2 linked regions of the Arabidopsis thaliana genome follow. The protein of the gene in region 1 interacts with the protein of each later gene in a pairwise test. Each region holds a gene or a part of one and is shown on either strand. Other genes may lie near its edges.

Region 1 (5,316 bases):
TCTAAAAATGAAATTCAGATCAAGATCTTTCAAAATTGTATTTGAATTGATTTCCGATTCAGGTTTATCGGTTGTACGGCCAAGAGAAGATCCTTTCAAATCAAAGCGTCTGTGGATGGAGTACTCAGAACAAAATAGGTTTCCCATAATGACAAACCGCACCTGCAATTTGCAATAAAGGAGATGATATATTCAATCAAAATCCAAGTCTCAGTTTTTTTGTCTGTTTAGCATTGTTCTTAATTCTTACCTTCTTTTGGATTGGTCCAGTTAACTTCACACAGTGGAGACCGTAGAATCTAATGACCAAAGTGTTCTCAAATGCTCGAACATGGTTGTAATATGCTGCAAGCATCCTCAGAAGCACCTGCATTATATAATTCCAGAATAAAGTTAATAGCAGCTACATATTTTTCATCTTGTCATTTTAAAATAAAACAAACTCACTTTAGTTTCAGACTTCTTCATTGTCTTTATCATGTAACGATCATCATTTGTCAAGTAGAAAAAGCTTCCACTCTTACCAGGGGATGATAGCTCCCGAAGGGCATCATTCCCGCAGATCGATAACATGTAATCAGCTGGGTCTACCTTGAATAGCTTCCTCAAGCTCCTAAAGATAGATAAAATTAGCATAACAGTGTGTGAGAATACGTACAGATGGGAAATAAGTAAAGCCTAATGTTATTTGATCTCACCTAAAAACTAATGGGCAATAGTCTTTCCATTTGAATTCACTAGATTGATGAGGAGGTGTGTATTTGGTTCCTTCTGGTGGAAATCTTGTCCATACCTTCTCCTTTGGATCAAAAGCCGAATGCTTAAGATCAAGAGACACAACCGGAGCTTGTTTTCCAACAGCATGTCTGCGTAAGCAAATACATTTCACATGAGCGCTTATACATCAACAAAACTTCAAATTGTATAAATGAGGCAGCAAACTGGGATATTTACCTGATTCCAAGCTGTAGATTAAGCATAAGCTCGTAATTCCGGTGGCCTTTAGATATCGTCTCGCCTTGCTTCCTCCCTGCCCTTGGCAATCTCATAGGTGCAGGGCTCGGTCTCAGGCTCTGAATGAACCCTTCAGCCTCTAGTCTCATCATTTCAGCATCCAAGTCCCTCCTCGTGGTGGAATCAATATCAGCAGCACCTTCTCCGCTTTCGGTTCCCCACATATTCATCTTCTCAAACGCTCTATCTACACCCACACTTACCCTCCCGTCAACAGACATCCTCCTCGGTTTCTCGACACGTTTGGAAGAGTTCCAAACAGATAGCTTTTTCTGTGAAGGCAACACAGGAACTCTCTCTCCGCTGCAGATCTTGTACTCACTCAGATTAGTAAACACGTCTTTAGGATCCCATTCAGGACTCCCGTCGTCTCCTGATGGATAATAAGTACCGTTCATCTCTTCCGGATCATTAGACCAATGACCAACGTAGAAACTCCCATCAGCCCATTTGAAAGTACCGTTTCCTCTAGGAAAACCGTCATCCCAAAATCCGTCGTATCTATTCCCATCCGTCCAAATAAAAGTACCTTTGCCACAGATCGTAGCGTTCTTCCATTCCCCCATGTAATAGCTCCCATCTCTCCACTGATACTTTCCTTGGGCTTCTTGCAAACCCCTCCTCCATTCACCATCATACACATCTCCATTCGCGAAACGCTTGATTCCATGTCCATGTTTCAGGTTCATCACCCACTGACCTTTATAAGTATCTCCACTAGGACCTGTGTAAAGGCCAACACCATCCATGTATCCACTTTTGAATTCGCCTTCATATGTGGCACCAGAAGGCCACCCGAACTTCCCTCTTCCCATAGTCTTCCCGTTGTACCAGTCACCAATGTACATGCAACCATCTGTCCAAAGATACTTCCCATGCCCGTGAGGAAAACTATCATACCATTGCCCTGTATAATAGTCTCCATTAGGAAGTATTCTCTCTGCATGGTACAATTCCCCTATGCTGCTTCTGTTAGTGCTGGTCTCATCATCATTCTCCTCAGTCGTAGTAGTAGCATCATCATCTGTCTGTGGAGCTACAGATACCGTCCCAAAAATGCTGTTTGCACGCTTCTTCGCTTGTTGGGTCTTTCTTACGGTCACCTCCCAAGCCTTTAGAACACAGCTTTGTTCCTTGCTCATCTTCTTAAACTAATAAAACTTTTCTCTAAGATACCTATATGTATATCCTAGAACATAAACTCAGAAAACATATTTGTTCTTGTCTAAACAACAATCCTATCAATGTACACATACACAAGAGAAAACCATGAACTCTGTGCAAAAGAAAAAACAAAGTGTAAACCTAAAACCATTAAATCAAACGCAGCATGAAGAAATCTGCAATGGTCTTTACTCTGTGACTTCCTGTCTCTATGCCATTGAATCACAAGAAAAAAGAATGTTTTTTGGTCTTTTAGAATGCAACATTTTCGGAGTGAAAGCTGATATGAACAATCATGGAAACCTAACAAAGAATCAGAGAGAGAGAAAAACCAATGGCCAAAAGAGTTAAGGGATCAAAAAAATTCTCTCCGACATTTCATCTTTTCTTGTCAATTCATCTTAACTAATTATGTCGTTCAAAGAAGAAACCGTTCATCTCCTCAAACCAATGAAAGCCTTCAAATTTAGAGAAACAAGCATGACCCATTTTTCTCTATTCTTAGCATCTCCGAGCTTTCCTCTCATAAACAAACATATTTTCTTCAGAACAAAAAAAATCGGAAAAAGTAATAATTAATCAATTTAGCCAAGACTGATAACGTCTCCAATCTGAGATCACTAAGAGCTATAATCAAAAACAGAGGTAACTGAAACTCTAACTCACTGAGGCATTCTGTCGAACACTTTAAACGCATTGCTTCTCCACTAACAAGTCACATTTTTCCGTATATTCACAACTTATTTTCAAAAGGAAAGATCCATTCCCAATGCTGAAGCTTCAAACACCATAAACGATAGAAGAGAGACAAAAGTTACAACCCAAAGCCAAGCGTGTAAAGATCAAAAGGTCATATTTTTCCTGAGGGGAAACTTCCGTCGCAGGTTAAAATTGGAGGGCTTTTTTGTAAACAATTCTTAAGAAGGCTAATTGTAGTAATTTATTTGTAATTATTAGTTAACTGTGTAAAGTAAATACTTTATCCAGTAATAACGTATCACTTTAGTTGATGTCTATTGGTTAATAGCCGAAGCTCGTTCCAAAATCGAAGAGAATCTATAATCTCATCACGACACACCAAAGCCAAAACCTTTATTGTCGGAAGCTGACTCAGACTCAAACAATGTCTCTAGCGTCAATTATATGCTAAATTCACCAGCCGCTTAGAGCCAATCATATAATCTCGATTCTCTTCAACGGTCCTCAATTATCCTAAATTCAGATCATAAAAACGCTAACTTTTAATTTCTTTCTTTCTGAGAAATTGGTTCTCATCGTTGGAATCGAAAAATGGGACGAATCGGTTTAGTAGTGACTGATCTGGTATTGTCGTTCATGTGGATATGGGCAGGAGTTCTGGTCAACATTTTAGTCCATGGAGTTCTTGGATTTAGCCGGACCGATCCTTCCGGTGAGATCGTTCGTTATCTCTTCTCTATCATCTCCATGTTCATCTTCGCCTACCTTCAACAAGCCACCAAAGGCGGGCTTTATAATCCTTTGACCGCTTTGGCTGCTGGAGTCTCCGGTGGCTTCAGCAGTTTCATCTTCTCCGTCTTCGTTCGAATCCCCGTCGAGGTTTGTTTCGTTGACTTTTTTTGGTTTAATTGAAATTGACTCTTCGTTAGAGAGAGGTCTCAGGGTTTGTGTAATGTTGTAAAATGTCAAATTAGAGAAAAAAAAGGAGAATTTAGCTGATGGGTTCTTCTTTGAAAACCAGATCATTTTGGTTATATGCTCTATTGTTTTATAAAGACTTCATCTTGAAGATCTTTTGCTCTAATGTGTAATCAAAGATGATACTATTGTGAAACTCTGGTTTTGTGTTATTTCAGGTAATAGGATCAATTCTTGCGGTTAAGCATATCATTCACGTATTCCCTGAGATTGGGAAAGGACCTAAACTAAATGTAGCAATTCACCACGGTGCTTTAACAGAAGGGATACTAACATTCTTCATTGTACTGCTCTCAATGGGACTAACAAGAAAAATCCCGGGAAGTTTCTTCATGAAGACTTGGATCGGTAGTCTTGCTAAGTTAACTCTTCATATTCTTGGCTCTGATCTTACCGGTGGATGCATGAACCCTGCAGCTGTATGTACCAAAAAAAAGTCTTGTGATTGTGATTTCAGCAAATAGCGATCTTTGTTTTGAATGTTTGCTTTTGTGTGAATCTTTGCAGGTTATGGGATGGGCTTATGCACGCGGTGAACATATAACGAAAGAGCATTTACTTGTGTATTGGCTTGGACCTGTGAAGGCTACGTTGCTTGCAGTTTGGTTCTTCAAAGTTGTGTTTAAGCCTCTCACCGAAGAACAAGAGAAACCTAAGGCCAAATCTGAGTGAGGAATGAGGAATGAGCTCAGCTTTCATATTTAATCCTCTCTGGATAAATCTCCTTTACACAAGACACAGAGGGTAGGATTGTTTCCAGGGATATTTTCGTAGATTTTGTAATGTGTTTTTTTTTTATGTTGCAAACTCAACTGTATCAACCAGTTCAATAAAATCTGAAATTTAAGTAAGTCCAATGCGCAATATGATCAAATATATGCAGTAAAAGTTTATTGCAAAAAAAAAAAGACGATGTTTCTCAGTTTCGATCATTCAATTACAAGAAATCAAGAACCAGCCGTAAACTCAAGACTTGACATTGCAGCTACTAATAGACAAGATTAGGCTCAAACTCGGCGAAATCAACAGAGCCAGACTCAACAGGAGGCATGAGATAAGCAGCCAAGATCTCAGAGGCTAAAGAAGTAACCAAAGGAATCCTCTTGAGGGTCTTGATGAAGGAAGCATCATCTGTTTCTCCTATAGCCAGCAGCTTCTCATAGCTCACAACCATTCTATCCAGTTTCCTCTTGAACTCAGGGTTCTCAACATCCAGCACCGCAGGGAATATTCTTGCCGTGGTTCGGTTTGTCTGAAACAAATCTCAACATTTTCAGAAAAAGGAACATAACACAGGTTAATATTAATCTTCTTGTTTCAAGTTCCTTTACCTCGATGATGACATGCATATCGAACTCCTTTGTGTTTAACCCGATACCCTCGTAGAAATTAGTTCTTTGGCAGTCATTGAGGTACATTGTCACATAAACCTGTAAAGCCAATCCTCTTACTGGTTAGGCC
Region 2 (6,728 bases), on another chromosome or scaffold:
CTCCTCAGTTGCTTAATCTGTGTATCCTTTTTGTTCTTCAGGATTTTCAGGCGTGAAGCCGCCATTTGTAAAGCAATTTTGCTTCATTATTGAAAATAACAATCACCCAAATGTATCAATATTCCGGTAATGTGAAGAAACTCGCAAGAGGAAAATGAGAAAGTGAATATACCATTTGGCAGGCTTGAAACTTCGATGAAGCACCTTCTTCATTGAGCGAAACTTGATTAGAGAAACGAAAGGTCAAGCCTTTTGAGGTCTTGTGGAGTCTCCGAGTACACACAATTGAAACGAAAAATCTGGGCTTTAAGGGTTTTTGTTGAGGAAATCAGATGGAAATTTTGTGATCTGAGGAAATGGACCTTCACGTGACACGAAGAAAAGTATCAATTTTGGAGAAGACGCAGAAGAAGAGGTGAAATAGAGACGATAAAAAAGAAAAATTGACTTTTGGCAAAAACGGGTTAAATAGTGTTAGAAGATTTTGATTAACGCGTCAAAATGACAATCATGTAAGAAAACAAAAACTCAGAAAAACGAGTTAATGAAAAAGACATGTGTCATGTCGACAGTAATTTAAACAAAAATCTTGTATATTAACATTATTGATTTTGTAAGGTTATTCAAATATTAGATTTTCCAACTTTGAATATCTTTCGTTACTCCAATTAATCCCCGAATCATTTAATATATAAACAATGATTTTTATCAGATCTTCATTAATATCAAAACAATCTTGAAAAAATAATAATTAAGCTAATAAAATTTAAAGCGTTACAAAATAACTAGATATGTATTAAATAATTATAACCGATTTTTTGTATATGTCTAGAGTTAGTGGGTCACATGTTTTGAAATGTCTTTAAATGTAGAGACACCGACAACAGATAACTGAAATACCATAAAACTAAATTTCAAAATTAGCATTTTTTGTATTAGACAAAAAAAACAATTGTTTAAGAAGAAATTAATTGATTTATTTTCAACAAAAATAACATGATAAAACTCTATACAATTTAATAGAAATATATGATTCATCACTCAATTCAAAGCTTATCAATTTGATCTATAGTACGTTAATTTCCTAGATCAGCAATTATGAGAAATATGAATCATTCATTTCATCACAAAACTATTACAAGTAGGATTTTAACGGAATCGACAACGATCGAATTTTATACAAAAGAATTTGAGTAGAAACCTTTTAGAAATTGTAGTCAATCATAATATGAATCTGACCATACAACACAAATAACCTATATAGAAATTATCCAAACCTCTTTTAATCCATTTGGCTTCGTCCTACTTCTCCGTAATCTCTTTGACTTTCACTGGCTCTGTGGCTCACGGTCCAGCTCAGCAGCTAGGCACTGTTTCAGCTCCGCTACGATCTGGTTCATCGTTGGTCTATTCGATCCTTTATCTCTGACGCAAGACATTGCCACATCCACAAACTTCCAAGCTGAGTCCTGCGAGAAGTCTCCCCGAAGCAGCGGGTCCACGACGCCGTCTAGTTCTCTAGCCTCAAAGAACGGCCAAACGTAGTGAATAACGCTGATATTGTCTCCTTCTTCTGTTTTGATGATGGCTCGCTGGCCAGTGATGAGTTCAAGAAGAACGACCCCAAAACTGTACACGTCGCTCTTCTCGTTCAGCACAAATGTTCTGTAGTATCTGTCACCACACGTCGCAAATTGGTTACCATGTATTCCTGATAAACTTAAAAAGGGTCCGAACTGAATTGGCCAACCCTAACCCTAGTCTCACTAAACCGCTCTGGTTTGTGAAGCTACCAGCCAGAACATGTGATCTGTATTGATTGTGAAAAGGAACTTACTCAGGATCAACGTAGCCGGGAGTGCCCATGACGGTAGTCACGACGTGGCTGAGATCGTCTTCAGGGAAGACCTTAGAAAGGCCGAAATCAGCAATCTTGGCTTCCAAGTTATCGTTTATTAGAATGTTTGCTGTTTTAACGTCTCTATGTACTATTGCTGGTCTGCATCCATCGTGCAAATACTCCAAACCTGCCAAGGGGGAAATAAAACCAGGTTTCACAATACAGAACTAGGCTAAACCAGGTTTGGTTTCTTGGTTAAGCCCTGAGGAATCAAGGTTGCCAAAACCGGGACCAACCTTGTGCAGAATCTATGGCTATATGGAGTCTCTTTTCCCAACTAAGATCCTCTGCATTCTCACCTGCATGTCCATAAACATAACACCCGTGAGCTCATAGGAAGCAAAGCAACAATTGGTAACAGAGATATATAGAGAGATAATAAGATGACTTGAAAGATAAGCCTGCAAGTTGCCGTTGGCCATGTACTCGTAGATGAGAGCCATGCTACGATCATCATCGCAGTATCCAACAAATGAAGCTAAGTTACGGTGATGCACTGTCAAAAGAAGCTCTGCCTGCAAACATTTTACAGTACTTAAGCATTTTAATTTCTAAAATATTTGATCATGTTTTTGGTGTTCTTTAGATCACCTCGACTTGGAATTGGTTAGAAGCCCGGGATAATGATGATGATGAAGTTCCTTTAGGTTTTGCCAATGAAGAATCGTTTATCATCTTTACAGCAATTTTAGTCCCATCTTCAAGGGAACCAAGGTACACAATACCAAACCCTCCTTTACCAATCACTTTATTGAAGTTGTTTGTTATGCTAGAGACCTCATTATATGTGAACCTTCTCTTCCCTGAAGGCAGGAGTGGTCCTGAATAGGCTCCTGAAATCAAAACACTCGTTTTTCTCAGCATAAAACAACTTCAATTCATTAATCCTGAAGTAAATATTCCAGCCATCTAACCTTTTTTTCTTTGCCTTAGTATGATCCATATGATAACCAAGACGACAACGAGAACGATCACTGATGCTGCTACAGCTATTGGCACGACCATGCTCTTCTTCTTCTTCTTTTCTTGACATGAGTTACAAAGGTTTTGCTCATCCGCACTGCAAAACAGAGGAAATCACAAGATTCAGAGAGAGTGCTTGTGTTGAATAACTTTCTGAATAATGCTAGAAACTGTTACCTGAGCGTAAGTAAACCGGCCTTTAACTTTTTCATAAGGGATTTTGGGATAAACCCAGTAAAATTGTTTCCTTTCAAATTCCTTACAACACAAGTAAATGTGTCAAGAGGCAAATTCATTATTTAAATAGACCAACACTGTGTATATTTGTGCTTACTTACAGGACTTTCAAATGTTTTAGATCAGCCAAAAACTCAGGCACATTTTGTTGCAGGTCATTGTTGGATAAATCCCTGAGAAAAACAATGCATAACTCTCTGATAGTTCATGTGCATAAAAAGTGGTGAAAAATGTCAATTGTATACGTATACTTACAATGACTCAAGAAGAGAGAGATTTCTAAATGCCAAGACTATTGGTCCTAGTAATCCGCTTGAGCTAAGATTCAGGGACTTGATTTGATGATTATTATTGTTGTCGCTGCATCCAACACCTTCCCAAGGGAATAATCTTGGGGAGCAAGGATCACCACTCCAAACCTTGTTCACTTTATAAGTTGCTTTTATGCTTTCTATAGCATGAACTGCATTACCAAGAGAAAATGTGACTATGTGAGTTTCAGTAGAAATCTAATTCTATCTAAATAGAGATTGAAAGTGGAAACTCACTGTCTTCAATTGTGGTGGAAAATTCATCTAGAGATTGTGCGGTAAAAATCTCTATAGCATTGAGAATCGGTGGAAGCGTTGAATCTACAGTCTTCTGAATAGAAATCCAGTGATCTTTACCAGTGAAAGCTCTTGGATTAGAAAACGTCGTTGAATATTTTGAAGAAGGTTCGAAAGAAGTTTCAGAAACAGGGGAACCATTCCACAAAATCTTGATCTTTCTAGTCTCATTCTTCTCTAGTGTTTCGAGTTCCGCGAAGTAAAGATATGCGTAGAACCGAACATTTGGATCGTCTGATGTCCAGAACAATTCCAACGGATCATCAACGTTTTCAGGAGCAGCAGCTGTCTTAATAACTTCATCAGGTGGACAATAACCGTTCTGAAAAACATCGATATAGCCCGATGTTATAATCGAGTTCCAGGAGATATTTGAGGAGTATGGAGACCAAATACGATCGAATCTATCGTCTTGGTACCGTCCTGTTCCGTTTAAATATCCAATGTCCCATCTTCGATAGAGAACCAAAGAGACATTTCTTCCAAATTCAGTACCGTAGATTGAGCTGTTCACTGGTCGGAGCTCTAACCCTGAAATAAAAGGAGTTCCTTTGCCTTTATTCACAAGGCAAACATATATTGTATCCGACTCTGCAAAGCTTAAAATCTCTTTGGTGACTTGATCAGAAGCATTTTTGAATTTCACTGTCGACCAGAAGTTCACGTTTACATAGAGATCAAACTCAGGCAAAGCTTTTTTACCATCGTAGTTTCCATACATAAAGGAAGCTCTAATGAGATAAAGATGATCTTTTCCTTGTGAAAGTTTTAAGGTGTAACAGTTTCTGTTTCCTTGAGGGAAAGCTCTTACTTCAGCAAGAGTTGACAGCAATACCGGGTTTTTTGGATAGCCGTATTCTTCAGAGACCTTGAAGTTTACGCCGGTGGTTATGAAAGCTTCATCGGAGACGTAATTAATGTTAGTCATAGTGTCTTCAGGGGTATCGTAAGGAGGTATGCCACAATCGATGCTGATGTAACCTGGATCAGAGGAGAAGAAAGGGGAGTTACTTCCAACACAAGTAAAATTGTTTATGACGTCTGAGAACGTTCATGGATAGGTTTAAAAATCTGCCTAACTTCGTTTCTCTATATTGACAAAAACGTAGATCACAACTTTCAAGAACCTTCAAGAACATCGGTCAATTTCAAATTAGAAAACAGAGAAAAGAGAGAATTGTATGATTACTTGTAACACAAGACATTGTATAAGGGTTTGACTAAAAATCCAAGACATGTTTAAAAGACAAAAACTTTTCATAATAAAACTCAAGCTTTCTTCAGTCTGAACCTCGCCTCAATTTCAAATCAAAACAGAGAGGAGAAGAGGGAACCTGATTGGTCTTGGCCGTGAACTAAAATGGTGGTAACAAGGGCACAAAATATGCCGAAAACGAGATTAGCCCTCATTTTCTTCTCTCTTTTTTCAGAAGTTCTTCAGCTTACCATCTTCAGGAAAAAAACAGACTACGTGCGAGTAAGATAAGCTTAATTAAAAGCCAAAAAGTGCAAAGTCTACTCTTTATGGTATTAGCCAGGTGTTTGTAGACTTTTCTTTCATCATTGGCTCAGTAACTATATATATTTCCCACTAAGGACAGGAAGACAACCTGGATTTTATAAGATGGAATTAGTGACAATGTCACGTTTTGACTTTAGTGAAGTTATTAAAGATGTGATTAACATCCAAAATAATAGATAAAATACATAGACTGAGTCATTGATTGCCAGTTGATTTTGATCTGGGACAGAATTCAAAGTCTTTTTTTGTTTTATGAATTTTCTATAACAACGAAGTTACAGAGAGTAGTCACTTTAGAAGATGATCAAGAAATAGTACTAGAAGGGCTCATATATTTAAAGAAGCAGAGACTTTGGAGCCTTCTTTTGTTTGAAGGCCTAGTTTTGTTCCAAGGCCATCCTTTGTGTCCACTTTACTCCGAGCGAGATCCACCTCCACGACGGGCACGCTTCCCAGCACCGGGGGATTAAATATATTACCTGCGCAGAGATTATTCACATATATCTTATCATAAGAAATGTCACAATGTAACAGAAAAAGAGTCATGTGGTTTCATCACTAGTACTAGCTTATATTGAATGTCACAAAATCAGAGCTCAATAATTACCTATCCCACTGAAGAAAATGCCGTAATCCATTCCATTGAACACGGTTGGTATCACTATCGAATAAGGGCATTGTGTGGAGAATCCAATCTTTTCTCCGTTAGAGTGTTTAATAGATTTGCTTAGCTTGTTTACGCAACGTTTGAACTGCTTGTGGCAGTTAACGTAAGTCATACCTAATAAAAACCAAATATTAACTCAAGAATGGTTTTCATGCATAGATTATGTTGTTGATTGGTTTACCTTTTAAATCAACACAATTGTCATGAGTCATACAACAAGCATCAAGATCATCACAAGGTGGCTCTCCAGGACATCCAAAGTAACCTATCCCACAATACTTCCCATAGCGAATACCAAGACCTGAAAACAAAGATTGGATCAAAACATATAATGCATGCACAAGTTTTTTTCTCCAAAATCAAAGGAAGGCATAAGAACTAAGATGATAAGAAAAAAACAATCTTACTGTTGCAGTTCTGTGCAATGCAGGTGTTGCTGCACTTCTCCTGGCTGCTAACGACGGCGAGGAGGAGGAAGGCGGTTAAACCGAAAGCAACACGTGACAAAGCAAGCCCGGTGATCATCTTTCTAAATCTCGCTCTCTGGTTGAAGTTTTTGGGTTTTGTGTTCTTTCAAATTCTGTCCCAAACTATTTTTGGCTCTCTCTGGAATGGAATATCCCATTTTTGGTTGGTCCTCCTGCTTTCTTGTCCTTCCCCTCTCTCTCTCTTTTACGTACACAAGAATTTAAAAAATGAAGAAGTTGCATGACTACCAATCAAATCATCATATTTTATGGACGTTCCTTCTCGAAGAAGCATTATCATGGACGGTAAAAACAGAGTATCATTTTTGTTACCTCTTGGAACAGAACACGTTTAAGCTATGTA

What was found. The genes of interacting proteins can lie anywhere in the genome.
Region 2: the proteins of SIP2;1 (region 1) and AT4G29450 interact in a protein complementation assay, tested with the Arabidopsis thaliana proteins (one large-scale study listed by BioGRID).

The regions. Positions count from the first base shown.
Region 1 is NC_003074.8:21,077,797-21,083,112, reverse strand, and holds SIP2;1 (small and basic intrinsic protein 2;1), read left to right. Parts: upstream 1-3,256; 5' UTR 3,257-3,468; coding exon 3,469-3,756; exon of another isoform or gene 3,757-3,938; intron 3,939-4,013; coding exon 4,014-4,274; intron 4,275-4,362; coding exon 4,363-4,523; coding exon of another isoform or gene 4,524-4,527; exon of another isoform or gene 4,528-4,629; coding exon 4,630-4,702; 3' UTR 4,703-4,816; downstream 4,817-5,316. Other genes in the region: PIP5K4 (phosphatidyl inositol monophosphate 5 kinase 4), read right to left, coding at 1-162, 251-367, 448-613, 699-866, 955-2,156; CRD1 (dicarboxylate diiron protein, putative (Crd1)), read right to left, coding at 4,844-5,107, 5,187-5,285. UniProt on the Arabidopsis thaliana protein: Water channel required to facilitate the transport of water across cell membrane. Inactive in yeast cells.
Region 2 is NC_003075.7:14,477,509-14,484,236, forward strand, and holds AT4G29450 (Leucine-rich repeat protein kinase family protein), read right to left. Parts: upstream 5,119-6,728; coding exon 5,043-5,118; intron 4,690-5,042; coding exon 3,649-4,689; intron 3,564-3,648; coding exon 3,356-3,563; intron 3,274-3,355; coding exon 3,202-3,273; intron 3,122-3,201; coding exon 3,041-3,121; intron 2,961-3,040; coding exon 2,815-2,960; intron 2,734-2,814; coding exon 2,492-2,733; intron 2,416-2,491; coding exon 2,289-2,415; intron 2,200-2,288; coding exon 2,137-2,199; intron 2,028-2,136; coding exon 1,838-2,027; intron 1,675-1,837; coding exon 1,329-1,674; 3' UTR 1,241-1,328; downstream 1-1,240. Other genes in the region: AT4G29440 (Regulator of Vps4 activity in the MVB pathway protein), read right to left, coding at 1-81, 173-213; PLA2-GAMMA (Phospholipase A2 family protein), read right to left, coding at 5,558-5,709, 5,838-6,011, 6,079-6,198, 6,305-6,422.